Linked DNA regions of Tamandua tetradactyla. The protein of the gene in region 2 binds, or shares a complex with, the protein of the main gene of each other region. Links are inferred from orthologs where the notes say so. Each region holds a gene or a part of one and is shown on either strand. Other genes may lie near its edges.

Region 1 (7,920 bases), on a different chromosome or scaffold from region 2:
GTATTAGCTAAGGTTCTCTGGAGGAACTGAACCAGCAGGAGATATTTGCAAATATAAAATTTATAAAGGTGTACTAACCATGGGAATGTAGAATCCAAGGTCTCTATAGCAGTCCGCGAGCTGGCAGCTCCAATGAATGTCCTCAACAAACTCTCAGGAGAGGCTGACTGGGCAACTGCGGGGATATAAGAATCAAGGTCTGCAAGGCAGACCACAAACTGGCAGCTCCAATGAATGTCTTCAATGAACTCTCAGGAAAGGCTGGCTGGTTAAAGCAGGAAGAGTGATTGTCTCTTCTGAATACTCCTTAAAAGTCTTCTGGTGATTATATTAAGCGTCACTTGTTACAGAAGACACTCCCCTCAGCTGATTGCAAAGGCAACCAGTTATGGATGCAGCCAACAGATTCATGAATTAAATCTATGAAATGTCCTCATAGCAACAAACAGCCAGCACTTGCCCAACCAAACAACTGGGCACCACCACTTGGCCAAGCTGACATATGAACCTGAACATGACATATGGTATGTGAATATAACAGATATATATATCAACTTAAAAAAAATAGAAAAAAGATCAAATGGAAGAACGAGTTTCAATAGCAGCAAAAGCTCAAAACATAGCATAGGAAGCAGAGAAATTAGATGAAAACTAAGAGGAAGAGTGATGTCTCATAGCTTTTAATTAGAGACATAATTGCTTCCTTCTTTCCTATTACTTTCTTTGCCTTTGGAATGCGTGTATTTTATCACTAGGTTCTGGGCAACCATTACATATATGGCTTGCAAACCTGCTCTGACAGGCTCCGAGAGCAGTCTCAGCCTGTAACAGAAACTATGTACTCCAGAAAGGGATATATGCAAGAAAGTAGTGTGCTCTGAGATTGAAACTGGGAAGAGGTTAAGATTTTTAGAATAGTGATTAAAAACTAGATAGTTCAGGCAATATAGAATCCTCTACTTTTCTTCCTAATACAGATTGTGTGCCAGGTTCCCTCATGATAAGGGTGGACCAGATTATAATTGACGGGGTTGGCAAAATGGATGATCAGCGCAGGAGAGTTAAGCCTGTAGACTACAGCTAATGTCTAAAGAGAATACTTTTCAATTCTTTAGATGGGGAACAGGAGGGGTGGCCATGGATGGACACAGAGAACCTTCTTTTATGGCTCCCTCAAAGGATTTTATCACTACTGCCACAGTTAATCCACCCAAAGAACCATCTTATTATGTTTTAGGTTCTCCATTTCCATTCTACCAAGGGAAGTTCTGAACTCTCCTCGGATCTAATGCCTATCACTCATGTGAAGTTGTGAAGAAGTCTTCCGAGACTTTAACGAGTTTATTCTCCCAGAAGGAGATTATAGGTAATAGTACAATTATAGTATTATTCTTTCATCAGTTATAACAAATGTACCATACTAATGCAAGGTGTTAATAAAAGGTGTTAATGATATGGGAACTCTGTATTTTCTGCAATATTTTTCATGCAACTTTTCTAATAAGAAAATTTTGCTTTAAATCCAGTTCCTATGCTTTTACAGATAACAATCTAAAGCATGAAAATACTGAAAAGTTGAAGAAGAAATAATGGGAAGAGTTACATTATGCAAATACTAACCAAAAGGCAGATAGTATAACTATATTACTATCAATCAAAGAAGACTTTGAGACAAATAGCATCATTAAGGATATCATTTCCTTACAATGATTAAAGATTAAGTTTACCAAAACAATATACCAATTCGAAACATGTAGGTACCTAACAAAATAGACTCAACAGATACAAACAATAATTGATAAACCTTCAGGAATAAATTGACAAATACACCATGATGATGGGAGATTATAGCAAATTTCTATCAATAAATTATAGCTCAAGTATCAAAAAAATCCGCAAAAATATAAAAGAGCTGAATAGCACAATTAACAATTTTGATCTGATGGAACACTTAGAAATATTTATTATATATTCAAAAGAACTATAAAAGATGCCTTGGCAAATTTCAAAGAATAGTTATAATATGAAAATAACTGGTTTCCCAAACTCCAGGAATTTAGCCATGACTGTGGGAAAACTGGGGTCCAACCTTAAATGGACTGAAATACATTTTCTGACCTCTAACAGACTAGAGGAAATAGAAATTACTGTGTAACAGAAAAATGTTATAAATCCACACTCCTTGCATATCTGAGTTTGTGGAATGAGAGTTTATCTGCTGTGGGTTTTTTTTTTTTTTAATTGCAAGAACTCTGTAAAATACAATTTTGTGCTCTGATGTTTTTAACCAAATATCACAGAATAGGCCTTTTGACACGCCATTGTTCTTGTATTTTTTCCAGGAATCGCTCCCCAGATCCTAAGTTTCTCTCTCTCCTTCATAAGCCAGATATCAAAAGCCCTCTTCTAAACATAAACTCATGTCAATAAGCAACCTGGAGGTCAACACACCCAGAAAACCAGAATTCCTCTTAGGCTCATTCTGGGTCAAGTCCTTGAACAATTTATTCCAACACTTGCTGCGGCCAAATGCATTTCCTTTTATTAAAGTTTTATTTCACCTTATGGTGAAATAAAACATGGCATCTGTTCCTCAGTCAACTGAAGGTTTAAGATCAGATTGCCTACAGCTCTTCTTTTTTGGATATAGTAAATACTAGCCTTTCTTCCCACCACAAAAACCCATAATCACTATTTCTCTTGATGTTCAGATTAGCAACTGATTCCCCTGAGATTTCTGTAGAAAATTTCCCAGGGGCCTTACCTTACTGGCTCTCTTCCACAACAGCCTAGCTGTGAATTCAGAGTTTCAGGGACGACTGTTAGCTAGAACTAGCTAGAGCTCTTCATTAGTTAGAATGGTGGGCCATGGTAAGAAGAGATTTTGAAAGACAAGGAAAAAGTGCTACTGGCTGTTTCACTTCGAAAGTTAACCAGCTCTTGCATTTAACAATGTGCAGGATTTTAAGGCTCCTCCCATCAAAGTTCTTAACTTTCTGTTTCTTGTCTTAGACAAGTCTGACCAGTTTTCCTCCCAACTTGAAATTTCAGCCAAAGACATTTTAGCATGAAGAAATGAAAGCAAATAGCTCCTTCTCTATTTTGTTTCCTAAATTTTAAGGAAGTTCACAACCTAGAGTACTGGTTCTCACAGTGTGGTCCCCGGGCAGGCAGCATCAGCGTCTCCTGTAAACTTTTAGAAGTGCAAATTTGGAGGCCTTACCTCAGAACTACCGAATCACAAACTCTGAAGATGGCATCCACAAACAGTATTTTAAAAAGCTCTCCAAGGTGATTCTGCTGCACAGTGAAGTTTGAGAACCACTGCTCAAACATTCCTTTTTGTCTTCCATATGGGCCAGTAGATTCCCATAGCCTTGGTTGAGGCTGTTTGTAATTATGGTTAAGTCATGCAGAGAAGTGAGTGAGCTGATAAATCCTGCTAGATAATCGAAGGAGAGGAAGTAACTGGAGGAGATATCGGTGATCATATTAGCATCATGTGTGCTCCATACCTTGGAGCAGGGCAAGGTAGAGCTGAGATAAAGTCTAGATAACCTAACCCAGGGTTTGGCACAAGTTAAGTGTCAGGTCTCCTACAACTATCTCCCACCACAAGTGCTTGTCCTGCATGGTGTCAACCTAAATGTAAAGTAAAAGAAAAGCTGACAGATTGTATTAAGAAATTTAAACTGATATTAAATTCATTCATTTATCTGTCCCTTCATTCAACAGATATTTATTTAGCATTTATGTGCTCAGCTTCATCTCCTGGAAATTTTAAGTAGTTATAGCAGGCTTTCTTAGCTCTCCATTCCTTAAGCAAGAGTTTGGAGGTAGTTATAGTTTTCTTGCAGATGTTTTTTGCCATTGCCTCGGATTGAGTCCTAGCAACTGTAATGAATACAACAGTACTGAAAAATATGAGTTTGCCCTTGGACATTGAGGACTAGTACTTGAACTGCAATATTACTATGGATCGTTTGGGCTGTCTGGTATGCACACGATCTGGAACTCAAATCCCGTAAGAAAAGAGCTCACCATGTCTTGTAGGAACTGAACTCGTCTTGGCCACTATAGTGATCATGCCTCAGGGTTAAGAACGCAGTCCCCATCAAGGCAGACTTTCCACGCAGACTTACAAATAAGCACCTATTATTCCTATCCTGAGTACAGACACTGGCAAAGCCAGCTATCTCAACTCCTCTGGACCCCCATTTTAGGCCCCATTCTAGGGTTCCAGGCAAATTGTAGTTGAACTACATGCATTTTGTATATATAAAATGTATTTTATAAAACTGGGTAGTGCCAAGCTATTCAGTGAGATACTGCTTCTCCAGATGAAACTGAAAGTGTGATTATTCATCTCCTTTCCTAAATCAAGGGATGGTTCTCTGTTTAACATAAAAACATGAAGGATGCAAAAGGTCAGAAGCAACTTTTCAGGCTCAGAACCCCTGATATAAAATGGCCTAGAAGTGAGGAAAAGAAAAAAAATCAAGGCCATGTTCATCTAGCTAGATTTCAGGATCAAGAGGACATTTTGAGCACACGTTTTAATTCCACCCCACCCTTCAAATGCCTCCTTTGTTTCCATCTATTTTATTACAAAATTTAAATCATAAATTTGAAAATAATTTGGGATTCCACAAACCATGCGCATATAATACAGCAAACTTAACTGATAAATGTCATATGTGTTCAGACTGCTCCACTGGCTGGCTGTTCCCCTGTCCCTTTTCCTCTCCTCAGCTCTCCCTATTCCCTGAGACACAACAATATTGAAATAAGACCATTCAATAACCCTACAATGGCTTCTAAGTGTTCAAGTGAAAGGAAGAGTCGCACGTCTCCCACTTTAAATCAAAAGCTAGAGCAGGGCAGTAGTAAATAGCCAAGAACTGTACAGAATTACTGCTGGGGGAATATCAGTGACTGGACACACAACATACACCAGCCTAGATCCAATGGAACAGCTGAGACCCCACACAGAGGGTTCTTCTCCCAAGCTGAAGAGGACTGCACCCCTCTCCCATGGGCATGGCAGGCTGGCTCCCCAAGGGGAAAGGAAACAGACTTTACTAGCAGCAAGGGCTTAGCTCAACCAATCTCCAACTGTGGAATTATTTAACAAATTCTGACTACTGGAAACAGGCCTCCAGCACAGATAAACCTGGAATAAGCACTAAAGGAACTAGGAGTTTTTGCCTCAGCAGCTAGGGGACAGGGTTGACAGGAAAAAAAAAACAAAAAACAAGCAAACAAACAAAAAGGTTTTTGAGTTGGACAGCACAAAATACTGGAAAAGGGCTGAACCCCAAGTAGAGAGGGCACATAGAGTCTGGAGATACACAGAGCCATGCACTAACTTAAGCTCTTGATTAACAAACCTGAGGAGCAGGAGTTTGGTTCTGAAAAGTACATTTTTTGCTTTTTTTTTTTCACTCCTTAACAGCTCATTAGATAGAACCAGAAGCACTCTCAGACTCCAGCACTGCTCCAGGCAAGGGTGGAATCAAGCTTGTCTGAGAGACAAAGTAACTAGTCAGATGAAAGAAGTTAATTCCCTAGAGGGTGAATCTTCCCCAAGAGGAAGGTGGGGCCCAGCTCAAGTGGAATTGCTCCCTCAAGGAATTCAAGCCCCAAGGACTGGAAAATTGAAGCAATTAAAGTGATCCTTCAACCTCTACTCTGCCTCAACCACACCCCAGCAGGGACAGTCCGCTGATATTAAAGGCACCACATCACTTTACACTGGTGGGAAGTGATGGGCAGACAAGCACCACATGCTGGGCAGGACAGGAAAAGCAGAGTCTAGAGGCTTCATAGGAAAGTCTGACAACCTGCTGGGTCTCACCCTCAGAAAAAACAGATGCTGGTGACTCTTTGCTCTTGAGACACGGGCCTATCTGGTCTGGGAAAAATCTGACTGGGGTCTGTAATATCTGAAGAGACCTTCCTCAGAAATGTAAAAAAGGCTCCATACAGGTAGGGCAAGAAACAGAAAAATAAGAACTGAAAAATTGTGATCAGTTAAACAGAACCTATGCTAGAGGTCTAGAATAAGTTGAACTGAATGTCAAAGAACAGATGGAGAACAAAGCCATTCAGCAAGAAAATCCTAGGTAAAGGAGTGAAAACAAGCTCCAGAGTAAACTAATTAAGGAAACCAAATACCTAGATGCCAGCAAAAAATAATGACTCATACCAGGAAAATCAAAGATATGACCCAGTCAAAAATATAAACCAACAACTTCAAATGAGATACAGGAATTGAAAACTAATTGAGGATGTTCAAACAGACATGGAAAAGCATCAACGAGTTTGGGGAGGATATAAAGAAAATATGGGGAAAACAAAAGGAAGAAACTGAAAGTTTGAAAAAATAAATGGCAGAACTTATGGGAATGAAAGACACAATAGAAGAGATGAAAAACAATGGAAACCTGCAAGAATAAATCAATGACTAAGCTGAGTGAGGAAGCATGCCGAAAGTGGAGCTAGGCCAAAAGCTAGGCCTCTTGCTCCAACAGCCAAGTTGTGAATACAAAGCAAAAGTTCTTAAAGGAAATTAAAAGTTCTACTCCAATGAGCACACTTACAAAAAGAAAGTGGAATAGCCTTATTGCTGATATGGAGAGAGTTTTGGTGATCTAGATTGAAGATTAAACTAACTACAACATTCCCTTAAATTAAAACCTAATCCAAAGTAAGGACCTTATTCTCTTCAACTGTAGGAAGGCTAAAAGAGTGAAGAAGTGGCAGAAGAAAAATCTGAAGCTAGCAGAAGTTGATTCATGAGGTTTAAGGAAAGAGGACATTTTCATTACATAAAAGTGAAAGGTGAAGCAGCAAGTGCTGATGTAGTAGAACCCACAGCAAGTTATTCAGAAAATCTAGCTAAGATCATTGAAGAAGGAGACCACTCTAAACAACAGATTCTAAATGTAGACAAAACGGCCTTCTACTGGAAGGAGGTGCCACGTAGGACTTTCATGGCTACACAGGAGAAGTCAGTGCTCGGCTTCACCACTTCAAAGCAGAGACTGACTCTCATTAGAGGCTAATGCAGCTGGTGACCTTAAGTTGAAGCCATTGCCCGCTTACTATTCCAAAACCCTTAAATCTCTTAAAAGCTATGTTAAATCTACTCTACCTATGCTCTACAAATGAAATAACAAAGCCTGGATGACAAGACATCTGTTTACAACTTGGCTTATTTGATATTTTAAGCCTGCTTTGATACTACTAATCAGAAAAAAAAAAAAAATTCCTGCTCACAGACAGTGCACCTGGTCACTGTATGACCTCTGTGGAGACATACAATGAGATCAATGTTGTTTTCATGCCTGCCAACATAATATCCATTCTGCAACCAATGGATCAAGGAGTAATTTCAACTTTCAAGTCTTATTAAAAAATTCATTTTGTAAGGCTATAGCTACCATAGCTAACTATTCCTCTGATGGATCTTTTTTTAATGCAGTTTTATTGAAATATATTCACATACTGTATAAATACCCAAAGTGTACAATCAATGGTTCACAGTTTCATCGTATAGTTGTTCATTCTTCACCACAATCAATTTTTGAGCCCTTTCATTATTCTAAAAACAAAAATAAAAAAGAACACCCAAAACCTCTGATAACCCTTATTCCCCACTGTTCATTTATTTTTGTCCTTATTTTTTCACTCATCTGTCCATGCACTGGATAAAGGGAGTGTCACCACAAGGTTTTCACAGTTACATGGTCACATGTAAAAAATATAAAGTTACACAACCATCTTCAAGAATTAAGCTACTGAATTATGTTCAACAGTTTCAGGTACTTTCTTCTAGCTATTCTACTACACTAAAGATAAAAAGGAATGTGTATATAATGCCTAAGAATAACCTCCAGAATGACCTCTGACTCTATT
Region 2 (8,056 bases):
AGGGGGGTGGGAGAGAGGATTTGGATCATAATGGGATCCCTTGTTTTCAACTCCAAATTTATGTCAGAAATCTCCTCAAAAATAAACACTTTTGTGCCTCAAAGAACGTCATCAAGAAAGTAGAAAGACAGCCTACACAATGGGAGACAATATTTGGAAACAACACATCAGATAAAGGTCTAGTATCCAGAATTTATATAAAGAGATTGTTCAACTCAACAACAAAAAGTCAGCCAATCCAATTACACAATGCGAAAAAGACTTGAACAGACGCTTCTCAGAAGAGGAAATACAAATGGCCAAAAGGCACATGAAGAGATGCTCAACGTCCCTGGCCATTAGAGAAATGCAAATCAAAACCACAATGAGATATCATCTCACACCCACCAGAATGGCCATCATCAACAAAACAGAAAATGACAAGTGCTGGAGAGGATGTGGAGAAAGAGGCACACTTATCCACTGTTGGTGGGAATGTCAAATGGTGCAACCACTGTGGAAGGCAGTTTGGCGGTTCCTCAAAAAACTGAATATAGAATTGCCATATGACCCAGCAATACCGTTGCTAGGTATCTACTCAGAGGACATAAGGGCAAACACACAAACGGACATTTGCACATCAATGTTTATAGCAGCATTATTTACAATTGCAAAGAGATGGAAACAGCCAAAATGTCCATCAACAGACGAGTGGCTAAACAAACTGTGGTATATACATATGGTGGAATATTATGCAGCTTTAAGACAGAATAAACTTATGAAGTATGTAACAACATGGATGGACCTTGAGAACATTATGCTGAATGAGACTAGCCAAAAGCAAAAGGACAAATACTGTATGGTCTCACTGATATGAACTGACATTAGTGAATAAACTTGGAATATTTCATTGATAACAGAGACCATCAGGAGATAGAAATAGGGTAAGATATTGGGTAACTGAAGCTGAAGGGATACAGACTGTGCGACAGGACTGGATACAAAAACTCAGAAATGAACAGCACAATACTACCTAACTGTAATATAATTGTGTTAAAACACTGAATGAAGCTGCATGTGAGAATGATAGAGGGAGGAGGGCTGGGACATAAATGAAATCAGAAAGAAAGATAGATGTCAAAGATTAAGATGGTATAATCTAGGAATGCCTAGAGTGTACAATAGTACTGAAATGTACAATGTACAAATTTTAAAAATGTTTTTGCATGAGGAAGAACAAAGGAATGTCATTACTGCAGGGTGTTGGAAATAGATGGTAATTAATATTTAAAAATTTCAACTCATGTGTGAGAGTAAAGCAAAAAAAATGTTTATTTGGTACAAAATTTATATTTTGACTAGTGCATTTCCTAATATAACTTATGTAGATAGTTTGATTGAATGCCATAAGTACTTGGAATCTCAGGTAGGACATGAGATTTTGTTGGTTTGTCCAGAGTGATGCCCCGATGAATCCCAGAGTGATTTGACCAGTGAGTGAAAAAGTATTTGCAAAGCCCCCTTGGGGGAATGTTGAGAACGGGGAGAAATTCAACTTCCCCAAGTTGTATTCTTGATATTCTCACAAGCAGTGTGGACAACCAAAGCTATAGGGAGAGCCCCCAGTCTTGGGGTTTGTTCATACGAAACTTAACCCCACAAAGGTTAGGTCAAGTGTACTTAAAATCTAGGCCTAAGAGTCACCCCCAAGAGAGCCTTTTTTGTTGCTCAGATGTGGCCTCTCTCTCCAGCCAACAAAAAAAGAAAGAAAAAAAAAAACTTCCGCTACCCTCCCCCCATTTCTTACATGCACTACTGGTAACATTATGTTTAAATGTAATATTTTTACGTGATTACATCTAAATACCATAAACCTCCTTTATCACGATGGTTTGGGGGTACAAAGATGGATATCCCCTTAGAGGCTAAGCTAATTATAATAGACTTTTAAAATTATCCTTTTTTTTTCCTGATTATAAAAGTAATCTGTATTCATCAGAAATCAAAATGCTGCAGAAATGAATGCCATAGAAAGTAAGAGTCCCTGCTGTCCGGGCATGGAGGCGGATGTGCAGATGACTTAGGAGGCAAACAGATTTCATCCTTGGCAGCAGCTCCATCCAGGCCCATCTTCACAAAGGGCCTTGAACTTAGACTCATCGTGCTCCCCTCCAAATAAGGCCACGCCACAGTCACAGAGACGTGCACAAAAAGAGTCTGTCACTTTAATTGTTAGAATAAGAGTCCCACTTTAATTCTGACATCAAACATTGAAAATATAACACGAGGGTTATAACCTTCTTTCCATGTTTCTTCATTTTAAAAATTTCTGGGAAAAAACCGAGTTACTGGAAACTCAACACTTGGAAAAAAACTTCCCTTCACCCAGCAAACATTGCCTTCAAGAAGTCCCTGCATCAGAATCGCCTGTGTTGCAAACGGTGGCCTGGTGATTTCAAAATATCCTGCTTTGCACTGGGAAGCCCCATTTCCTACCCAATTCTGTAGGTGCTTAGTCTCAGCTTAGAAGACTTTCCTGACCTGTCAAGACAGAATCCGGGTCCCCAGGCACCCACGGGAACCCATGCTTCATTGCACGGGCTTGTCATTGCTTGTCCAGTAGAGGGACCGTCCGGGTGCCCGTGAGGACCCATGAAACCCCTCCTCACCCAACCTGAGAGTTTTACCCATCTACTGCTTGCACCATAAATGTGCATTTTTGGGTTCATGCATTTTTCGGGCAGATGCTGGGTTTGGGGGTCATCTTCCCAGCAGAATCCAGTGAACTGGGTGCTGTCAGCTATGAGAACAAACCAAAAGGGTTGCATTGGGCAATAAGGGAAATCCAACCAGCCAGGACTCAGGGCAGCTTTGATCCCAGACGGGCCCTGCCCTGGGCTGTTTTCCCAGCCAGGCCTCAGACCTTTGTAAGTGACCCGTGGGAGTGGTCAGCACGGCCCATTTTGAGCATCAATGGTCAACCAAAAAACGGACATCCATGGGTAGTGATGAACAGTAAAGTAAACATTTTTTGTCATGCAGGGAGACAATATCACGGAGTGGCTAAGACAGTGAGTTTGGATCCTGGTTCTGGGGAAGCCCCTAAGCCTAAGCTGTGATTCCTGGGGGTGAAACAGGGGTGGAAACCCTGCCTTGCAGGACGCTGCAGAGATTTTAAGAGACAATGGAGAGAAAGCAAGCAGTGCCTGGTACAGAGCAAGCCCTCCTTAGAGGGTGTGTCCATTTCCCAGGGCTGCCCTCACCAAGCACCCCAAACTGCATGAGTTAATGTCATAGAAATATATTCTCCCACAGCGTTGGAAGCCAGTGGGAGAATGAGGTGTTGCGGAGTCGTGCTTCCTCTGAAGGCTCAGGGGAGACGCTTTCCTCCCCTCCTCCGGCTGCTGGTGGCCTCAGGCATTCCTTGGCTTGTGGTGGCATCACTCCAATCTCCTTCACCTTCACATGGCCTTCTCCCCTGTGTGTCTCCTCTGTGTTTCTATGTCCCTATCCCAATATCCTTCTCATTTCTCTTATAAAGACACCAGCCATTGGGTTCACGGCCCAACCTCACCAGTATGTCCTCATCATAACATGGTCACATATGCTATTTCAAACAAGGTGACCTTCACAGGTGCTAGAGGTTTAGATTTGAACATATCATTTCAGAGGGCATGGTTCAACCTGCTACAGAGGGTAATTGTATTAGCAATAAAACATCTTTTCATTGAGAAGGACAAAAAGTTTAAACCAGGATATGCAAATAATGCCAACTAAGAGATAGAAATATCGTTATCTGCAATCACCATTGTAATAATTGATTTAGGAAGAGATCATCAGTGGATGCTAAGACCACTGATGAAAGATTGTGGGAGGACAAGACATTTATACATTCTCAGGTTATTGATTAATTACAAAGAAAAATATTATAATGGGAAGACCTTGAGGACACTTGAATATTATCTTCAGTCTAAGGAGGAAAAAATCAGATAAATCTCACTTGAGGGATATTCTTCTTGGAATAGAATTTTCAAAAGCACCAATATCTTTTTTTTTGTCTTTTATTTTTTTCAATGTAACAACATACAAACAGGAACATTCTTGCCATATGATCATTCCATTCTTGGTATATAATCAATAACTCACAATATTATCACATAGTGGTGTATTTATCACCATGATCATTTCTTAGAACATTTGCATCAATTCAGAAAAAGAAAGAAAAAGAGAAAAGGAAAAACTCATACATACCATACCCCTTACCTCTCCCTCTCATTTATTGCTAGTATTTCCATCTATCCAATATATTTTAGCCTGTGTTTCCCGTATTTTTTTCTATACCCCTTATCATTGCCTTTCATTGATCACTAGCATTTCAATCTACTAAATTTAACATTTGTTCCCCCTATTATTTATTTATTTTTAATCCATGTGTTTTACTCATCTGTCCATACTATAGATAAAAGGAGCATCAGACACAAGGTTTTCACACTCACACAGTCACATTGCAAAAGCTGTATCATTATACAATCATCTTCGAGAAACATGGCTGCTGGAACACAGCCCTACATTTTCAGGCACTTCCCTCCGGCCTCTGCATTACATCTTGACTAACAAGGTGATGTCTATTTAATACATAAGAATAACCTCCAGTATAACCTCTCGACTCTGTTTGGAATCTCTCAGCCATTGACACTTCATTTTGTTTCATTTCTCTCTTCCTCATTTTAGTCGAGAATGTTTTCTCAATCCCTTAATGCTGAGTCCGAGCTTATTCTAGGGTTTCTGTCCCACATTGCCAGGAAGATCCACACCCCTGGGAGTCATGTCCTATATAGAGAGGGGGAGGGCAATGAGTTTGCTTGTCGTGTTGGCTGAGAGAGAGAGAGAGGCCACATCTGAGCAACAGAAGAGGTTCTCTGGGGGTGACTCTTTGGCCTAATTTTAAGTAGGCTTAGCCTATCCTCTGTGGGGTTAAGGTTCATATGAACATATCCCAAGATTGAGGGCTCAGCCTTTTGCTTTGGTTGTCCCCACTGCTTGTGAGAATATCAGGAATTCTTCACTTGGGGAAGTTGAATTTTCCTCCTTTCTCACCATTCCCCAAAGGGGACTTTGCATCAATATCTTGAAGAAAAAAGAAGGCTGGGGAAGGGTGGAAGTATTCTAGCTAAAGGGGGACTATAGAGACATGACAACTAAATGTGACGCATGGTCTTTGACTGGATCTTGGATTGGGAAAAAAAAAGCTATGAAAGACACTATTAGTACAATTGGCAAAATTTGACTATGGACTGATTGTAGTACTGTTAACAATGTTATAATTGTATATTACACTTGAGTGTAATAATTGTATTATGAGGATTTAAAGTAATATCCTTGTGTCTTAGTTCTTGGGAATATTTAGGGCATTTGGAGTGATGTGTGAAAATGTTCTCTATTGCCCAATGGTTGGGGGGGGAAGAAGTGCATGTGTATGTGTGTGTGTGAGAGAGAAGAAAAAGCAGCAAATATAGCAAAATGCAAACAATTGGTGAATCCAGGTAAAGAACATGTTGTGTTATGTTCATTGTATAATGCTTTCAACTTTTCTGTAGTTTTGAAATTTTTGTGTTTTTTTTTTTTTTTGAAATTTTTGTTGTTGTTGTTGCATAATTTTTAAAAGTAAAAAGTTGGGTAAAAAAACCAAGGCGTGCAAAAAGACAGAGGCAGGCAATCAAGAGCAACCCACCCCACCTGGAGTTTCCATTGACGTCCGGGCCACCTCTGGGCTCCACGCTGGCCTGCACTCCCTTGAGGACCCGGTGTCTGTTTTCACTGTCGCACTCCAGCATCCTGGCACTTGAGTTTGGTAGATGTGCGTGGAAGAGTGACCTGGGGCTCCAGGGAATGTCCACCCTGCCCTCCAGTGAAGGCAGAATCAGGAGCAAAAAATCAAGATGGTGGTCGCAGGCTTTGCACTTCAAGGCCTTGGCGTGGTGAGAAGGTCCAAACAGCTGAAACTGCATCAACGGAGGTGCCACCAGGGCTCGTCTCCTGGCAGTGTCCTGCCTGCCTCAGCAGCCTTCTTGGACAGGGCAGGGAAAGCTTGCAGGCCTGTATTTGCTGTCCCTTCTCTTGCCCTTGGCCCTGGAGGGCCCATGAAACCCCAAGAGTCTGGAGGAGAACAGCTGGCCAGAGGGGGACCGGGAGCTCTGTTCTCAGCCCCACCTCCTCCGCCAGCTCTGTGTCCTGGAAGGAAGAGAGAGCAAAGCATCTGAGTGCCCACCCTAGGACCAAGAACCTGGAATGGCACCCAGCCAGGCCTTCCATCACCGCCTTGCCCACCTCTTTGCAGCCTAGGCAGCAGAGGGGAAAGCTGGGGGGCCTGGAGGTATGCGTGGCTGCAGGACACTGCCCCCTCCGAGCTGGAGACATAGAACACCAGCCGGTGTTGACACACCATGACTTCAGTCTCAGTTCCCACCAAAGCTCGGTGCACTTCCTGTGCCTTTTCCGTTATTTCTCAAGTCGGCTCTTCTTGCTCAGACACCGGGCTCCAGACAAGGGGCCTCTTATGCTCCTGGCCGGCTGTGGCCTCTCCTTGGTCCACGCCATGGCCAAGACCCCCAGTGACCATCTGCTGTTCTCCCTGGAGGACCTGGTGCCCTATGACTTTGAGAAGTTCAAGTTCAAGCTGCAGAACACCAGCCTGGAGAAGGAGCAACCCCGCATCCCCCGGGGCCTGCTGCAGATGGCCGGGCCTGTGAAGGTGGCCTCTCTGCTCATCAGCCACTACGGGGAGGAGGACGCTCTGCGGCTGACCATGCAGGTGCTGCGGGCCATCAACCAGCGCCTCCTGGCCGAGGAGCTCCTCAGGGCCTCGGGGAAGGGTAAGGCAGGCCCCAGCCCCCACCCGCTGCTGTCCGTGGGAACTGGGAAGGCGGACTGGGAGCTGGTCCGCTGGAAACTCCAGACCCGGGAGATAGAAATCCCAGGTCTCCCCACCCTCGGTGGACCTTGGCCAGGCCAACCCCTCTCTCCTCCTGGGTCCTGGGACCTGGGTTGGTAAAGAGCCTGAGGCTCCTCCTGGCCAGGACTCTGGAGGCTGAGAAATCGTCCCTTGACTTGCGATTTAACACGTGTGCAGACAAGTCACCTCCAGGTAGCAAAAAGGGCTTGCTAACCAAGCCTGTTGTCAGGGGTTGGGATGTGATCTGCTCACTGTTGGCCGCCTCGTTTCAGCTTTGAGTTCTTTAACACCCTTTAAAAGGGTCTTTATAAATTCTAAGAGGATTTCTTAATTCTTCACCCCTTCCTTTTTTCGTTCCTTTCTCCCTGTCTTCCCCCCTCCCTCCTTTCTTTCCTCTTCCCTTCTTTCTTTCCTTCCTTCCCTCTTTTCTTTTCTTTCTTTCCCTCCCTCCCTCCCTTCTTCTATATTTTCGTTTCTCTCTTTCTCCACCTTGTTCTACACCCTTTTGTTGTACCTTTCTAATTTTATTTCATTGGGATTAAAGCCATTCACATCTGCCATTAAAGGTTTTTTTTTTTTTTGAGATTTTCTTGGGGCCTAATACCAGGTCAGTTAAAACCTTTGGTGTTTGAATTTTTCTTTTTCTAGGTTTTAAGCCTACATTAGAGACATGTTTCTATGAGGTAGAACAGTTTAAGATCGCAAGGTTTCTCTCCGTTCCTTGAAGGAGTGATAGAATTCAACTGTAAACTACCTGAGTCTTGTGTAATTTGATGAGTAAAATTTTTTATATTTTATGTTTTAAAATCTGTAGGGCTTCTTACCAGTTCCGGAGCCAGTTTTGGTAATTTTGTTCTCCTGGAAAATCAACGGCAAACTATTTTCAACAGCTTTAAGTAATTTTAATAAGAACTTCTTCAGACAGAAAATTAAGGTGCTAATTATTACAGGTTATCTGTATTTCCTTCATAGAGTAGTGGTTTTCAAATTATGCTTCTGGGAGGTATTTCAGGGATTTTTTTAGAATTTAACAAATACATATTGAAATATACCATTAACCGAATTTTAAATTATTGTTGGCCGACTGTGCTGAAAAATTAACTTATTTTCAAGCAAACCTTGGAA
Region 3 (8,245 bases), on a different chromosome or scaffold from region 2:
CAATAATGCACAAAGGTTCCAATTTCTTCTCATCCTTGCCAATACTTGCTATTTTCCATTTCTAAAATAGTAGTCATTCTAGCGGGTGTGAAATGGTATCTTGTTGTGATTTAGACTTGCATTTCCCTAATGACTAATGATATTGAGCATCTTTTCATGTGCTTATTGGCCATTTGTACACCTTCTTCAGAGAAATATCTTTTCAAGTCCTTGGTCTATTTTTATAATTCGATTGTTTGTCTTTTTGTTGTTGAGTTGTAGCAGTTCTTCATATATTCTGGATATCAAACTGTTATCAGATGTATGATTTGCAACTATTTTCTCTCATTCTGCAGGTTGTCTTTTCACTTTCTTGATAATATCATTTGATGCACAAAAGTTTTAATTTTGATGAAATCCAATTTATCTGTTTCTTTTGTTGCTCGTGCCTTTGGTTTCATCTCTAAGAATGCATTGTCTAATACAACATCCTGAAGATATCCCCCCATTTTCTTTTAAGAGTTTTGTGTTTTTAGTTCTTATATTCAGGGCATTGATCCATTTTAATTAACTTCTATATATGGTGTAAATTAGGTGTCCAATTTCTTTCTTCTGCATATGAATATCCAGTTTTCCCAGCACCATTTGTTGAAGAGACTATTCTTCCCCTATTGAATGGACTTGGCACCTTTGTCAAAACTACTTGGCACTGTTGTGGAAAATCAATTGATCATAGATTTGTGGGTTTATTTCTGAACTCTCACTTACTTGATTCCATTGGTCAACATATGCCAACCAATGCCACACTGTTTTGATTACTGCAGCTTGGTAGTAAAGTTGGAAATTGAGAATTGTGAGAGCTGAACCAGAGAATCAAGCAAGGATGAAAACTACTGCCACAGAGAATCAACATCTCAAAACTCTCTGATCCTCTCCAGCAGCTGTATTCTTGTGATAAATCCCTCACTTGCAAGAACTCACCAAAGAAAACCCACCTAACCCTACCCTCAACCCCCTTTAAAAATGTCTACTCAAATCCAGGCAGGCAGGAGTTGATTTCTTGAATCACCTCTCTTTGTGTTCCCCTGCTAATAAAACTTGCTTTTCCCACTGCCAGTGTCATGTCTCTGTCTCTGCTTCACATCTTTGACCTCCGCCCAGCCCAGGACTTTCAGGAAGTATAAGTCCTCCAACTTTATTCTTCTTTTTCAAGATTGACTTGGCTATTTGGGGCTCCTTGTCATTTCATACAAAATGTGATGATTGATTTTTCCATTTCTGCAAAGAAGGGTGTTGGAATTTTAATTGAGATTGTGTTGAATCTGTAAATTGCCTTGGGTAGTACTGACATCTTAACAATATTAAGCCTTCCAATCTATGAACATGGGATGTCTTTCCATATATGTAGGTATTCTTTAATTTCTTTCAGCAAGGTTTTGTAATTTGGGGAGTACAAGCCTTTCACCTCCTTTGTTGAATTTATTCCCAGGTATTTTTATTCTTTTGGATATTAAAATAAATGGAATTGTTTTACTTGATTTCCTTTTCAGATTGTTCATTGTTGATATATAAAAACAACTGATTGTTTGCATATTGACCTTGTACCCTACCACTTTGCTGAATTCATTTATTAGCTCTAGTAGCTTTGTTGTGGATTCTTTGAGATTTCCTATGTGTAAGATAATCTTCAAGTAGAGATAGTTTTACTTCTTCTTTTCTAATTTAGATGTCTTTAATTTCTTTTTCCTGCCTAATTGTTCTAGCTAGAACTTCCAGTACAATGTCAAATAGCAGTTGTGAAAGCAGGCATTCTTGTCTTGTTCCCAACTGTTCTAGTTTGCTAGCTGCTGGAATGCAATATTCCACAAATGGAATAGCTTTTAAAAAGGAGAATTTAATAAGTTGCAAGTTTATAGTCCTAAGGTCACTTAAAGAAATTCTATAGAAATGTCCAATCTGAGGCATCCAGGGAAAGATACCTTGGTTCAAGAAGGCCGATGAAGTTAAGGGTTTCTCTCTTGGCTGGAAGGGCACATGGCAAAGTCTGCTAGCATTCTCTTCTGGCTGCTCATTTCATGAAGCGCCCCAGGAGGCACCTCCAAAGGTCACTGGCTGATGGACTCTCTGCTTCTCATGGCTATGTCATTCTGAAGCTTTCTACAAAATGCTTCCTCTTTTAAAGAATTCCAGTAAAGTAATCAAGATCCACTTGGAATGGGTGGAGACATGTCTCCACCTAATCAAATTTAATACTCACTTTTGATTGAATCACATCTCGGTGGAGATGATCTAATTAAAGTTTCCAGCATACAGTACTGAATAGGGATTAGAAGAAATGCCGCCTTTACAAAATGGGGTTCGGATTAAAACATGGCTTTTCTAGGGTACATAAATCCTTTCAAACCAGCATACCAATCTTTGGGGAACAGCTTTCAGTTTTCACCATTGAGTACAACATTAGTCATTGGTTTGCATTTATGTCCTTTAGCATGTTGAGGAAGTTTGCTATTCCTACTTTTCTGAGTGTTTTATCAAGAAATGGGGCTGAGTTTTGTCAAATCCTTTCTTGAGTAAATGAGATAATCATGTGGGTTCTTTTCCTCTATTCTATTTATGTGGTGTTTTATACTGATTGATTTTCTTATGTTAAACCACCTTTGCATTCCTGGCATAAATCCCACTTGCTCATGGTGTATAATCCTTTAAATGTACCATTGGGTTCGGTTTCCTAGTAATCTGTTGAGGATTTTTACATCTATATTCATAAGGGATATTGGTTTGCAATTCTCCTTTCCTGCTATGTATAACCAGATCCTCTTAATCTAACAAGAGATGAGCATCAGTTAGTATTAGAATATGCAAAAAGACAGATCACACCCTCCTGCCCACCCCCACCCCAAATACACACATCTTATATACAGGGATTGGGAATCAGACCAGGCACTAGGCATGGGCTAAAGGTAATCAGAAACTATCAGGAGCAGAGAACCAAAGAGGATGAAAAACATCTAACACTGCCCCCAAAGCCTGGGGCTACTGGGGTCAGAAAACCAAGCCTCAGGAAAAGCCAGAGCTCCAAAATCAGGAATCAACTCTCTCTTGGTTCACCACCACCACCACATCACCACTGGAAGCAGAAGGCACTCATTCTAAGCTCCGCTACTCACCCCTCCTTCTCTGAAAGGGGTTCCATTTATTTTGAGTCAAAAAGTAACAGAACCCTGATTCCACCTCACCCCAGTGTCCCACAGTAGCTTTTCCCTATCCTCAAAGTCTTGTCCCAATCTAAAGAGACTCAAGCATTAAGAGGTCTTTAAACACAATTCTAACTCCCTTCTGCCTGCTCCTTTTAAGTGGAACTATTGATCCCAGGGTCTTCTCCTGAAAAAAGAATCACCAAGGGAGTGACTGTGGTTCTGCACGGCTCCCAGCTTCTGACTCGAGGCTTTTTTTTTGAGGACCTGCTGTTATTCTTGTCTTTGGATTCAATATTATATCTCTATAATAAAGTCTGTTTCAGACTAATTTCATCAACTGTGCAAGTGAGAGTCCCCAAACCATAAAGGAGCCCAATCTACCCTCTTCCCAATGCATATGGAGCTGTAGCTGAAATGATCAGAGACTTAAGGAAGCTCCCCAAATTTTGCTTGTTCATTCATTCACTCAGTCATTGTATTTAGCCAATAATTATTGGGTGCTTACCATATACTGTCTTGTAAAGAAACTATGGTCTAAGAAGTAACCTCAAGGAATTCCTAAAATAAAATTGTTCCAAAGCATGGGCAAATCCCACCAGAAACCATGGTGTACATCTTGAAATTTCCAATTGCTCTGGAAGCCACAGTTAACTGCTGGGCACTTCTTCTCCAACTAACAGAGCCCACAGACCACTGGACAGGATGTAAAGTGCATATCAAGGTGAGCCCTCCAGGGTTGAGTCTTCCTACAATCTCTATCCATGGCCAGGCTACCTAAATACTTAAGGCTTCCTGAATTCCAACATTCTCAGAGCCTGGAGCCCAGAACATGTGCTTGTCAGGTATACGAACTGGTCAGGGGATTTGCATGGAGAAGTTGGCATGAGGGTAGGGAGGACTCTAAGGTGTTTCCACTGCAGTGGACACCACAATGTCAGCAACTCTCTGGCTGAGCTAATTCATCTAGACTGACCTCAATGCCCTGGGAGTGAGTGGGTTTTGGTCTCACCAGCTCCAGGAGTCCCAGTTTACAGTTTACAGAGCAGACAGATCACTACCAATGTTGGGTGCTTGCCTCAGCAAGAGCAGCTATCAGGGACTGGGCAGACTACAGATGGGGACCCTTCACTGTCTTAGTGGACCTTTCATACCTTCCCCAGACACTTTCACCACCAGCTGAGGGGTACAGCCCTGAAGCTACGTGAAAATAAAGTAACTTGACAGTTAAGAGGCAGGAGCCAGTTTCCTACTGGCTTGAGCGAGGAACTTAAGGTGGCTCAGTTTCCTCTTCCATAAAAAAAGAAATGGATAAACACAGTGCCTAGCCCCTTATGGTTAATGTGAGAATTAAACAAGCTAATATGTGTGCTTGGCACAGGGTGAGTATTACAGAAGTCTTAGCTATGATCTTAGGGCAACTGTGGGAGAGCTGAGCAGCAGGCCCATAAAACCCTTCTAAGCACTGCCCTGCAGGCCTGGCAAGTGGTGGAGCTGGGAATCTCCTGGGAGAAGGGAGAGACCCAGCCGGTAGGACTGAGGGCTGACTGGGGATTCTTGGAAGGTGACGACACCTTCTGCAGCACCTTAAACGCCCAGTGACCCCTAATAAGGACCTGGCATGCAGCAGGTGTTCGAGGAAACACTAATTAGAAAAAACAAAAACTGCAGTAGCTTTAGTTTTGCTCCACCCCCGGGGCGGGACTCTGACAGCGAGCCTGTCGGGGAAGGAAGTGTGCTCACTCCTTCCGTGTAGCGTAGCGGAAGAAACCCTGGAGGCAGAGTCCCTGCTGGACCCAGAAATTGACCCTTTCCCAGCCCCCGACCTCCCCTCCTTCCCCCCACGTCCGGCTCCCGAAGACCTCCATCCCTGCAGGTCACGACTTCCAGAAGCCCAGCCTGATGTCTAGCGGAATATGGTGAGAGGGGCGTGGGGGTGTCGACCGGGCACACTGACTGTCCAGCAAGTAGGGCGCCGGGCGGACACCTTCGGGAGCACCGTGGCGCCCCGAATCCAGGCCGGGACAGACGGAGAGGCGGGGGGAAGGGCTACTGCACGGAGGAGGGGAGGGCGCCGCGCCGATGTGGGACCGTGGCCGCCTGGTGGACGAGGCAACCTCATTAAGGTCCACAGGTGCCCCTGCCCCCAAGGTGTCCTTCGAGGAATTGGAAAACCCGACGCTGGTCGGCCAGGGCGGGTTCGGCGTGGTGTTCAGGGCCCGACATAAGAAGTGGGGCTACGATGTGGCCCTCAAGCTGGTGAACTCGTGAGTGACGTCGGCGTCGGACAGCACCGGGTCCTGACCTAGGAGGCCCGAGATGCTGTGCCCTGCAGCCTGGGAGAGGGAAGGCGGGGGCGGGGAGGAAAGGGATTGGGGGGAAGGGGAGAAGAGCAGAAAAATCTCTCCAGGATGCTGGGCCCACTCAGCACCCTTCTCCTGGCCTGTAGGGAGACGTTATCCAAGGAGGTGAAGGCCATGGGCAGTCTGCGTAACCAGTTTGTGCTGCTCCTGCTGGGGGTCACTGAGAAACTGAAGTCTGCGTATGGGTGCAGGCCGGCTCTGGTGACTCGGTTCATGGAGAACGGCTCCCTCACAGAGCTGCTGCAACCCGGGTGCCCTCGGCCTTGGCCGCTCCTCTGCCGCCTCCTGCAGGAGGTGGTGCTGGGGATGTGTTACCTGCACAGCCTGAACCCCGTACTCCTGCATCGAGACCTCAAGCCGTCCAACGTCCTGCTGGACTCTGAGCTGCACGCTCAGGTCAGCCCACACCCATCCTGCCCCACAGCTGCTTCAGCTTGGGCCGGTCACACAGACCCTGTGCTGCCCTAGTTCACTGGAGCCCTGCAGACACAGTCCTGTTCAGGGGTCGAGGCCCACCCAGGAACTTCCACCTCTGTCCTACCAGGAAACAGATCCTGACCCACCCCAGTTATTTCCTCAGGCATCCCCGCCCCTTCAGTCAGTCCCCACAAAGAGCCATGACTGACCTAGCCCAAAAGACTCAGGCCTTGATCTGGCCCCATCCAGTAGGAGACATAGTCTTCCAACCCAATGGCCCCATTGACCCTCCCCTTCCTCTGACCTTACACACACCCTTTACAAGGCAGGAGCTGCATCTACTGTTAGGAGTAGAGTGAGCAGGAAGGTGCATTGGAGGCTGCCTGATGCCTTCCCCTACCTCCTTCTTTTTCCCTTCCTTTGCAGCTGGCAGATTTTGGCCTATCCACATTTCAGAAGAGTTCAAAGTCAGGAAAAAGTTTCAGCAATCCAATAGGCACCCTAGCCTACCTGGCCCCAGAACTGTTGGCTGATGTAAACCAGAATCCCTCCACAGCCTGTGATGTCTTCAGGTAAGGTACACACCCCAAACATATCCCAAATCTCAACATCTTTCTGGGAGCAGGGTGTTGCCAGTGGCTGGGCCAAGCCTCAGGTTTGTGTCTTTTGCAGCTTCGGGATCCTCATGTGGGAAGTGCTAGCTGGAAAAGAAGCTGAGAGTAAGACTCTAGGTGGACTCCAGGATCCTTAACTCCATATGCCCTCCTCCCTCAAACCCCCAAGCCCTTCCCTTCCTGCTCATCTCTGCACATTGCCTTATTCATGCCTCCCCTCCCCACAAAACCCTTGGACCATATTCCCTGGTGATTTTAATGATGAAGCAGGTTACCCTTCATATCTCTTCCCTCCCCCTTTCCCTTTGCCCCAGTGCCCAAGACAACACTGATGAAGATATTAGTGTGTGAGGAGCAGAGCCGGCCCTCATTAAGAGAGCTGCCCCAACCTGGGCCCAAGACTCCTGGCTTGGAAGACCTGAAAGAATTAATGCAGCAGTGCTGGAGCCACAAGCCCAGTGACAGGCCCTCCTTCCAGGGTGAGCTAACCATTCAGCTAGCACGAGGGGCAGGCCTGGCTCTCACTGCAGGCTTTTCCCTGGGAATGATGTTTAGCTCACCTAGCCATTTTGCCATTTCTCCAGACTGCCAACCAAAAATGGCTGCAGTCATCCTTCAGGTGCAAGATGAGATGGATGCCTCTGTCTCCATGGTGAGCCCCCAACCCCACCCAGGGGCTGGTCAGGGAAAGCACATTATGGTCTCCTTGGCCACCAGTGACTTCCCTTTAATGACAGTTCTGTATATCCACTCTCCCCACCTTACCTGCAAATTCCCAGGTAGCAGAATATGACCCAAGACTACTTCCTCTGCTTTACACTCTGGTTCTCCCATTTCCGTGCATGACAAGCTCTTCCTGTCCCTACAGGTGAGGACATTTCTGTCTGAGCACAGGGGCAGCAACAGAAGGGGTTCTGCCCCAAAACTGGGCCCAGGAGGGATGGAGATGGATGGTGCTGGAGTTGATCCTATGATCTCTGAATTCCTGAACAATCTGCACCTGGAGGAGGACCCCAGCTCTGATCCTAAAGAATATGTCAAATTTACTGAGGGAATCAAGCCAAAGGAAGAGCAGGTTCAAGAAGCCAGGTCAGCAGGGACATCCTCAGATTCAAATGCCCGACCTCCCCAAACTCCAGAGAGTTCATCTTTCATAAACCAGATGCCCAGCCTCGCTTCGAACTGGGCCTCAGGTCCTTGGCCCCAAGAAAACCAGGTAAGACATCGGTGGGTCTAGGGAATGGACTGAGACTTCCTGTGAATCTTGTCCTTTCGCCGGACAAAATTTGGGGCTGAGGGGGATGTATAGTGGGGGAAACAGGCCTGAAAAGCTCTGTATTGTCTGCAGGGGGCTGAGAAACAAGGCAATAATTGGTCTCCCTTGAACCATCAGACAAATTCAATTCCAGGTACCAATCTCCCACCCTCTTCTTTCCCTTGCTCAATTTTTCCACCAGCTTATTCCTCAAGACTTATAGATACCAAGTAACTTGGTGAGAAAGGTGTTTAGAAGTCATCTAACGTGACCTCCTCCTTTAATAAATGAGGAAGTTGACATCCACTGAAAGAGGGTCTTGCTGAGGTCACACAGTAAAGCTTAGATTTGCTGCTGGGGCTTCTAACTTGACCCAGCACCAGCACCCCTAAAGTCTATTGTTGATTTGGGGGCCCAGAGGGC
Region 4 (7,865 bases), on a different chromosome or scaffold from region 2:
GCAAGAGGGTATAAAAGCATCATCTGGCTTGCTGTTTATATTGATGCCTCCCACTCTCCTTTACCACCTGGGCTGTAGGTAAAATCACACGGGGTCTAAAAAGTCCAGCTGCCTCAACCTCTTCTCCAGTGCTGAGAGCCGCTGCTCTTTGTGGATGCCTCCTGTGCGCTCTGCAAAGACAGCGGTGGGACAAGAGGAGCCTCCGGGACCCTCGTCCATTCCGATCGCTGCGGCCCCAGCCTCTCACTCTGCAGGGAGCGGGGACATCTGCAGATCTCACAGGGACTCTGCGGATAAGCCCTGGACTTCGGAGTCTGAATTCTTCTTCTTCTTTTTTTAAACATTTTTTAAATTGTGAAATATAAATACAAAAAAAGCCATACATTTCAAAGTACATTGTAGCAAGTAATTACAACACAGATTCCAGAGTTTGGTATGGGTTACAGATCCACAGCGTCAGGTTTTTCCTTCTAGCTGCTCCAAGACACAGGAGGCTCAAAGAAATATCAACATAATGTTTCAGCAGTCATACTCATTTGTTAAACCCTATCTTCTCTGTTTTAATTCCTCCCTCTCCTTTGATCCTTCTCCCAATCTTTAGGGATATTTGGACTATGGCCATTCTAACTTCTTGTTGATAATATGGGATAGAGGGATGGAACTAGTTGATGTTCTTGGAGAGGCTGGCCCCTCTGGGTTTCAGGACTTATCTGGCCTAGGTGCCCATCTGGAGGTTGTAGGTTACTGGGAAGTAATCTTAGTGCCTGAAACTTTGTAGACTCTCAGATAAAATCATAAGTGTCCTTTAGGGTTAATAGGAATGATCTTGGCTGGAGTTTGGCAAACCGTGGTAATGAGCAATATCTAGCTGAAGCTGGAGTAGCCTCCAGAATAGGCTCTTGACTCCACCTGAACTCTTTTAGCCACTGATATTGTATTTTGTTCCATTTCATTTCCCCCTTTTGGTCAGGAAGGCGTTGTCGATCCCATGCTGCCAGGGTCAGACTCATCTGTGGGAGTCAGGTCCCACGTTGCCAGGGAGACTTTCACCCCTGGATGTCATGTCCTGCCTGGCAGGGAGGGTAATGATTTTCCTTGTAGAGTTGGGTTTAGAGAGAGAGAAAGACCAGATCTGAGCAGCAAAAGAGGTTCTCTGGGTGTGACTATTAGGCATAAGTATAGGTCGGCTTAGCGTCTCTGATACAGAAATAAGCTTCATAAGAGCAAACCTCAAGATCAAGGGCTTGGCTTATTGACTAGGGAGTCCCTAATGTTTGACACAATATCAGGGGTTTCCCCAGTGGTAAAGCTTAATAGTTTCATATGTTTTCTCCAGTTTTTCAAGGGGCTTTGCCAGTACTTTTTTTTGGGGGGGGGCATGGTTCAGGAATCAAACCTGGGTCTCCTGCATGGAAGGTGAGCATTCTACCACTGAACCACCTGTGCACCCCACTTGCCAATACTTTTTCAATATATATGTCCTGCCTTTCTTTTTTTCTTTGCATGGCAAAGAAAAAACCCAGGTATCCTGCATGGCAGATGAGAACTGTCTGCTGAGCCACCACGGCCCGCCCTTGCCAATACTTTTTAATTATCTGCCAACATATTCTGGATTGTATTCTGGTATTATGTCAAGCTATACAGTCTTATAAGCTCTCATTTCCTTTCTGGGCTCCATATGTTTGGGTTGTTTAAATGAGTGATCCAAACAGGTTGAGTTAGATTATGTGCTACAGAAAATGTAAGTTTTGGACAAAATAAACCTCCCTTCCTTTGGTCTCATATAGTAGGTGACGTTCTAAAATGCAATGTCACCCTTACCCCTGTATTCTGATTTACCTTAGTCCTGACCAGCTTGGCTTCATTCTTATCTCTAATTGAAGCCTGATCTCTTTATTTCTTAGCTTCTTGAACAGTTGCTGTAGGTAGCACTGCTGACTTGCAGAGCTGCAGAATTCCAACTCAGTCTCAGGTGTCACACAGGTTGCCCAAATTCCAGGGAGATACCAGGTTATACATAAATACCACAGCATCTCAAAACCTAGAAATAACATTTACAGCTCTAGACTAAATGTGACTGCTGTAAGAGTTTACAATTTAAGCCCTAATTTTCTTATAAGTATTTTCTAAAAGAGACCGTACAATATTTTGTTGTTGTTGTTTCTGGCTTATTTTGCATAACATTATGACCCCAAGGTTCATTCACCTCACTGCATGACTGCATTCCTTTCCGTAGCCATACGATATCCCATCACATGTACATACCACAGCTCTCCGTTCTCAGTGTACCCTTCAGCCACCTCCATCCATTGAGGATCATGGGTAATGTCCAAAGTCAACAACCCCTGCTTCACATTATCCTCACTTCACTGCAGGATCATCAACACTCTCAATTTTAGACAATTTTCATTGCTCCAAAGAGAAAAATAACCAATAGACACATCCTCACTGTGCCAGTTTGAATCTGTGGTGGACCCCAGAAAAGCCATGTCTTTTAATTCTCATTCAGTATTGCTGGTTGGGAGCATTTTGATTGTTCCCATGGAGATGTGACCCACCCAATTGTGGGTGGTAACTTTTGATAAGATAGCTCCATGGAGTGGTGACTCCGCCCATTAATACTTTAAAAGAGGAAACAGTTTAGAGCCGCGAGAAAGCCACAGCAGAGCCTAGCAGAGCCACAAGGTTGAGAGAAGTACAGAGTCCATAGGCCAGCAACCTTTGGAGCTGAAGAATGCCCCTGGGGGAGCTTCATGAAACAAGAATCGGGGAGAGGAAGCTAGCAGATGTTGCCATATTCCCAACATGCCTTCCCAGTTGAGTGCAAAACGCTGAACCCATCAGCCTTTCTTGAGTGACAGTAACCTCTTCTTGGGGTCTTAATTTGGACATTTTTATAGCCTTGCTTTAATTGGGGCATTTTCTTGGCCTTAGACCTGTAAACGTATAACTTATTAGATTCCCCTTTTTAAAGCCATTCTGTTTCTGGTATATCGCTTTCTGGCAGCTAGCAAACTACAACACTCACCGAATGGAAAATCCAAACCTTCCCTTAACTCTTGTCCTCCCCACCCCCCAATTATTTACCCCTGGCATTGCTGTGGGACTGTTGATGTCTTCCTGTTAAGTATAGACCATAGTATGCAATGGCAATGTCCCCCTATATCCCTCTATTATTGACCCTTTGTACAAGATTCATACCTTTGAAGTAGTTCATGCAAGAACTTATTTATATTTGTAGTGTTAATCAGTGGGATACGTGGCTCCATACGACCCCTTTCAATCATGTTCACCCTCAGTACGGCAGTATTACTTATAAACCCACTAATGAACTGCCATTCCCTTACATTTAAATTCAACCTCACTAACTGCTCACCCATCTCTAACTTCTATGTATCTCTAGGTCCCCTATATCTTATATTATAAGCCTCTGAGTTTGCCTTTACCGAGGTCATAATAGCAAAATCATACAGTATGTATTCTTTAGTGTCTGGCTTATTTCACTCAGCATTATGTCCTCAAGTTTCATCCATGTTGTCATGTGCTTTGGGATCTCATTTCATCTTATTGCTGCATAATACTCCATTGTATGTATGTGCCACATTTTGTTTATCCACTTGTCTGTTGATGGACACTTGGATTGTTTCCATTTTTTGGCAAATGTGAGTAATGCTGCTATGACCACTGGTGTGCAAATGTCTGTTTGTGTCACTGCTTTCAGCTCTTCTGAGTATATACAGAGTAGTGGTATTACTGGGTCATAGGGCAACATGATATTTAGTTTTCAAAGAACTGCCAAACTATCTTCCATAGTGGCTGGACCATTATACATTCCCACCAGCAGTGCATAAGAGTCCCAATTTCTCCACCTCCTCTTCAACATTTGTAGTATCCTACAAATTTGTTTAATAGCAGCCATTCTTGTAAGTGTGAGGTGACGGCTGAGTTCTTAACCCTCTCGGCTGCCCACAAGACCCTTCACCTTTCTGGATCTCAGTTTCCCCTTCTAGAAACTAGAAGAGAACAGTGGCTCTGAACTGTTTTGGGGTCATTGGCTCCTTTGAGAATTTGTACACGCAATAGTTTCTCTTCGGAGAGAAATGTATTTTGGCACCTTAGGATGGACGGATTTGTTTTCACTGTGACCCAATGAATTAGGTACTTTTATTAATCCCACTCGACAGGTGAGGAAACCAAGGCCCAGAGAGGTTAGATAACTTTCCCAAGATCACACAGCCAGCAAACTGTGGGACTGCTCTTGAACCCAAGCAGCCGGGCTCCAGGCTCGCATTCCCCAACACCGAGCAATAAGGGCCCTGGGGGTGGTTTTCTATTCTGTGATCCCCAAATTACTCGGTAGGTTCTGTGGCGTGGCTGGGAGCCTGATGTGGTTCTGTGGGCTGAATGTGGTTCACACAGGACTTCAGGAAACACAGCTGGAAGACAAACCACGAGGCAGCCAGGCTGTCTCTGCCAGGTACTGTCTTTATGACCTCTCTGGCCTGTGCCTCGTCTCCTCTCTGAGACAAGAGGACAGAGCCAGTCTGGGTGAGATAGAGGAGCACAGGAGATCGGAAAGCACATTGTAGGCGCTCATTCGAGAGGGCTGTCACCTCGGTACGCATGTGAGCACCCACCCAGGTGTCTCAGCCTGGGTGCCGGGGTTAGGGAGGTCGGGGCGAGCAGCCAGGTGTGCAGGCGGCTCAGGCAAGGGCCCAGGGCTGCTCACTCCGATCCAGCCCCACCCAGTGAACATCTGCCCTGCTGGTTGATCCTGCAGTTTTATTTACTTAGAAAGTCAACCACAGAAGTTTCATTTTCTTTTTCATTGGGTTGGCCGGAAACAGAGGGGGCAGGCCTCCATTTGCAGTGTGAGGAGCTGATAGCAGCAGCTGAAGCTGACCTCCCACCCGTGACCCGGCACCCACTCCCAAGGCCAGTGCCAGCTCCCCGCAGTCTCTATCCCGCTGCTGTCAGCATGGCCCAGGCCGCTGCGGACACAGCCACCAAAGGTACAGTAAGTTCTTCCTTCCCAGGAGAGCGGGGCTCCCGGGAGGGGACATGCACTTCTCTTTCTGGCCCAGATCACGAAGGTAACTGTGGCACAGGAACCAAAGGCCGGAGCAGCAGGACAGGGCCTTGGGGGCGCACCTACGGCAGGGCTCCCCCAAACAGCCCTCAGGCTGGGCGCGGGGAGTGCAAGGATTCCTGCCGAGCAGACAAGCTGACGGGGCCAGGCTCCTGAGCTGCAGGGTGACTCGGGGCAGCCCAGCCGGCTAGCGTTAGAGGCAGGATTTGAACCACCCCCTCTTCATACTCATGTTGAGAAACAAAGAACTACCCACGTGTATGTTTTCTCCCGTTTCCAGCATCCCCTCAGTTAGTTTCACTCTGAGAAGAGTAACAAATCCACTGTACTGGGCAGTTGTCTGGGGCTGTCTGCTAAGCGCCCGTGGCCTGTGGGCTGAGGGTGCTGCTTGGGGTGACCTCATTCCATCCTTGCCACAAACTTTGAAGCAGATGCTGTTATTAGCCCCATTTCACAGACAGGGTAAACCAAGGCACAAAGCGTCCACACAGCCAGTAGGCAGCAGAACCAGGGCTCAAACCCAGGAAACCCATCACCAGAGGATAAAAAGGAAGAAAAGAGAGAGTTGGGAGGGGGCTCGGTGGGGTGCAGCCCGGAGCCCCGGCTGGTCCCTGAGCTCATCCTTCCAGGGGTTGGGAATGCGCTGGCCTCTCCCATCTTCCTTCTTCTCCGGTTGATTTTCCATCTATCTCATCATTTACATCTGGTCCATTTTGCAACACAGCAGGCTGGAACGGGGTGCCTTCTCCTTCACCCACGTCTCTGACCCCACCTCTTGTTTGGGGTCAGGGTTGGGGCTGGGGAAGAGGGAAGTTGAGCCAACTTGCTGGGCAGACTCTTTAAGAAGCAAAACTCTTGTCAAGACTGCAGCCAGTTTGCTGGGATTTCTGGCCCACTGAGGCTGTGATTTGGGGGTTGATGAGGTGGTGCTTCCAGGTTTTCTAATTGCTCTTTACCTGAACCCAGGGGTGGGGTCTTTCTGAAGGACCCTGCTTTGAACTTCCTCAGGGTTCTTGGGGTTAAGAAACTTCCTGGTGACATGCTGGGCGGCCCTGAACCGGCTTTCTTGCTGTGCTGTCCCTGTCCCTGCCCCTGTCACGGCCCCCTGACCTGTTTCTGCCTTTTACTATCCTTCTACTCATTTCCCTGAGTCTGATTCCTCCTTGCAGAGCAGCTGATTTTGATTTTCAAGAACCTGCCCCAGGAGGAGCAGGGGCCTCTGAGAGTCCCTCCATGAGCCTCGTAGTGTTCTGCTTAGGGCTCACTAAACTCAGAGCAGGAAACTGAGGCACATACGGACTGGCCCAGGGGAGCTGCTCATGACCTGCCCCTGGGGCATCAGGCAGATGTCTGTACAGGTGGAGGATAAATTTATTCACTTACTCACTTATTCACTCATTCACAACTCATTCATTCAACCGTCCTTGGCTCTAGGCTAGTCCGTGATGGTACCAAGGTGAGTCAGGCCACTGCAGTGGGGGGGTCTGTGGGGACACTCTGTAGGGACCCACATATAAACAGCAGTCTAGGATGGTTTCCCAAAGGAGATGGCATCTAAGCAAGACCTGGGATGTCGAGTAGGCTCTGGAGGCGGGGTAAAGAGTGATCTTGACAAAGGGAACAGCACGTGCCAAGGCCCGGGGGTGAGAGGGACTGAAAGGAGCACTGTCAGGTTGGTGCGTGGAGCAAAACTGGGGGCGGTGGGGCAGTAGGCCGAGCTGGAGTGTGTGGGTCTTTCAGGCTGTGGGAGGAGCTGGAATCAGACTCTGGCTGCTGAGCCAAGGGGAACCCCGCTGGAGATGGGGGCTCTGGCCAGGAGCCCGCTGCTGTCACTCAGGCAAGAGACCTGGGCTGTGGGTACAGCAGAGAGAAGTGCAGGGATTCAAGGGGGAACCTGGCAATGGGTCTCTCCAGGACACCACAGTCACATGGGCACTGGGAGAAAGATCATTCCCGAACGCCTGCCAGGGCCCTGGCTTGGGGGAGTCACGATCGACCGGGTTGCCGAGTTGGCAAAACCACGCAGAGGGGCGGATTCCGCAGGGAGGACGACAACAGGGATCAGAGAATGCCACGTCGTGGGGCGTGACAGGCGGGGACTGCCGGCCTCTCCCCCCAGCACCCGTGCCCCTTCCCCCTGCCTGAGAACAGCTGAAAGCTGCCTTCCCACCTGCCGTGGGGCGCTCACATAGGGCCCTGCCTGGAGCCCCTCCCTTCCCAGGCCACCAGCCAAGGCTGTTTGGGAGCAGTCTGCCTGCCCCGCACAGCGGGCAGAGGCTGCCCGGGCCTCTGTGCCCTTCCTCTGCCCGGGCCCCCGTTCTCCCAGACCGCCCTGCCCCTTTCTCTCCTAGGGGACCTGGAACGGAAGATCCTGCAGGTGCTGCGGGACGCGGGCTCCCCCGTGAAGACTGCCCAGCTGGTGAAGGAGTGCCAAGTGCCTAAGAAGGAGCTCAACCACCTTCTCTACCAAATGGAAAAGGAGTCCAAAGTCGCCCTGGCGGCCCCTGCCACCTGGCACTTGGGCAGGACTGGGTCTAAAGTGGCAGTTCCCGCAGCGCTGGCAGAGCCCAGCGGCGGTAACCTGTCATCCCGGGGGGAGGGGGAGGGGGAGCCAGCCTCAGCCCGGACAAGTCCCATTTGGGCCCCATTGACCTGGGTTCAAATCCAAGCTCTGCCACTAGGGGGCGTGATACCCAGTCACTGTGCTTGATTTCTTTTTCTGCTCAGTGGAGGTGACTATAGGGCTACTTTTTGGGAGAGAATTAAAAGCAAAGGG

Evidence for each region.
Region 1: MEFV (region 2) and AIM2 share a complex: the UniProt entries of both Homo sapiens proteins name them as parts of the AIM2 PANoptosome complex. The link is inferred for Tamandua tetradactyla from reciprocal best matches to the Homo sapiens genes MEFV and AIM2.
Region 3: MEFV (region 2) and RIPK3 share a complex: the UniProt entries of both Homo sapiens proteins name them as parts of the AIM2 PANoptosome complex. The link is inferred for Tamandua tetradactyla from reciprocal best matches to the Homo sapiens genes MEFV and RIPK3.
Region 4: MEFV (region 2) and ZBP1 share a complex: the UniProt entries of both Homo sapiens proteins name them as parts of the AIM2 PANoptosome complex. The link is inferred for Tamandua tetradactyla from reciprocal best matches to the Homo sapiens genes MEFV and ZBP1.

What each region holds. Positions count from the first base shown.
Region 1 is NC_135330.1:12,187,264-12,195,183, forward strand, and holds the start of AIM2 (interferon-inducible protein AIM2), read right to left. Parts: upstream 3,414-7,920; 5' UTR 2,765-3,413; intron 200-2,764; exon of another isoform or gene 176-199; 5' UTR 79-175; intron 1-78. UniProt on the Homo sapiens protein: Sensor component of the AIM2 inflammasome, which mediates inflammasome activation in response to the presence of double-stranded DNA (dsDNA) in the cytosol, leading to subsequent pyroptosis.
Region 2 is NC_135349.1:54,083,380-54,091,435, forward strand, and holds the start of MEFV (pyrin), read left to right. Parts: upstream 1-4,963; 5' UTR 4,964-6,535; coding exon 6,536-6,851; intron 6,852-8,056. UniProt on the Homo sapiens protein: Involved in the regulation of innate immunity and the inflammatory response in response to IFNG/IFN-gamma.
Region 3 is NC_135340.1:30,328,677-30,336,921, forward strand, and holds the start of RIPK3 (receptor-interacting serine/threonine-protein kinase 3), read left to right. Parts: upstream 1-4,887; 5' UTR 4,888-5,075; coding exon 5,076-5,092; intron 5,093-5,299; coding exon 5,300-5,440; intron 5,441-5,622; coding exon 5,623-5,932; intron 5,933-6,379; coding exon 6,380-6,525; intron 6,526-6,625; coding exon 6,626-6,672; intron 6,673-6,881; coding exon 6,882-7,046; intron 7,047-7,151; coding exon 7,152-7,219; intron 7,220-7,435; coding exon 7,436-7,783; intron 7,784-7,915; coding exon 7,916-7,976; intron 7,977-8,245. UniProt on the Homo sapiens protein: Serine/threonine-protein kinase that activates necroptosis and apoptosis, two parallel forms of cell death. Necroptosis, a programmed cell death process in response to death-inducing TNF-alpha family members, is triggered by RIPK3 following activation by ZBP1.
Region 4 is NC_135327.1:27,815,766-27,823,630, forward strand, and holds the start of ZBP1 (Z-DNA-binding protein 1), read left to right. Parts: upstream 1-4,822; 5' UTR 4,823-4,978; coding exon 4,979-5,012; intron 5,013-7,440; coding exon 7,441-7,665; intron 7,666-7,865.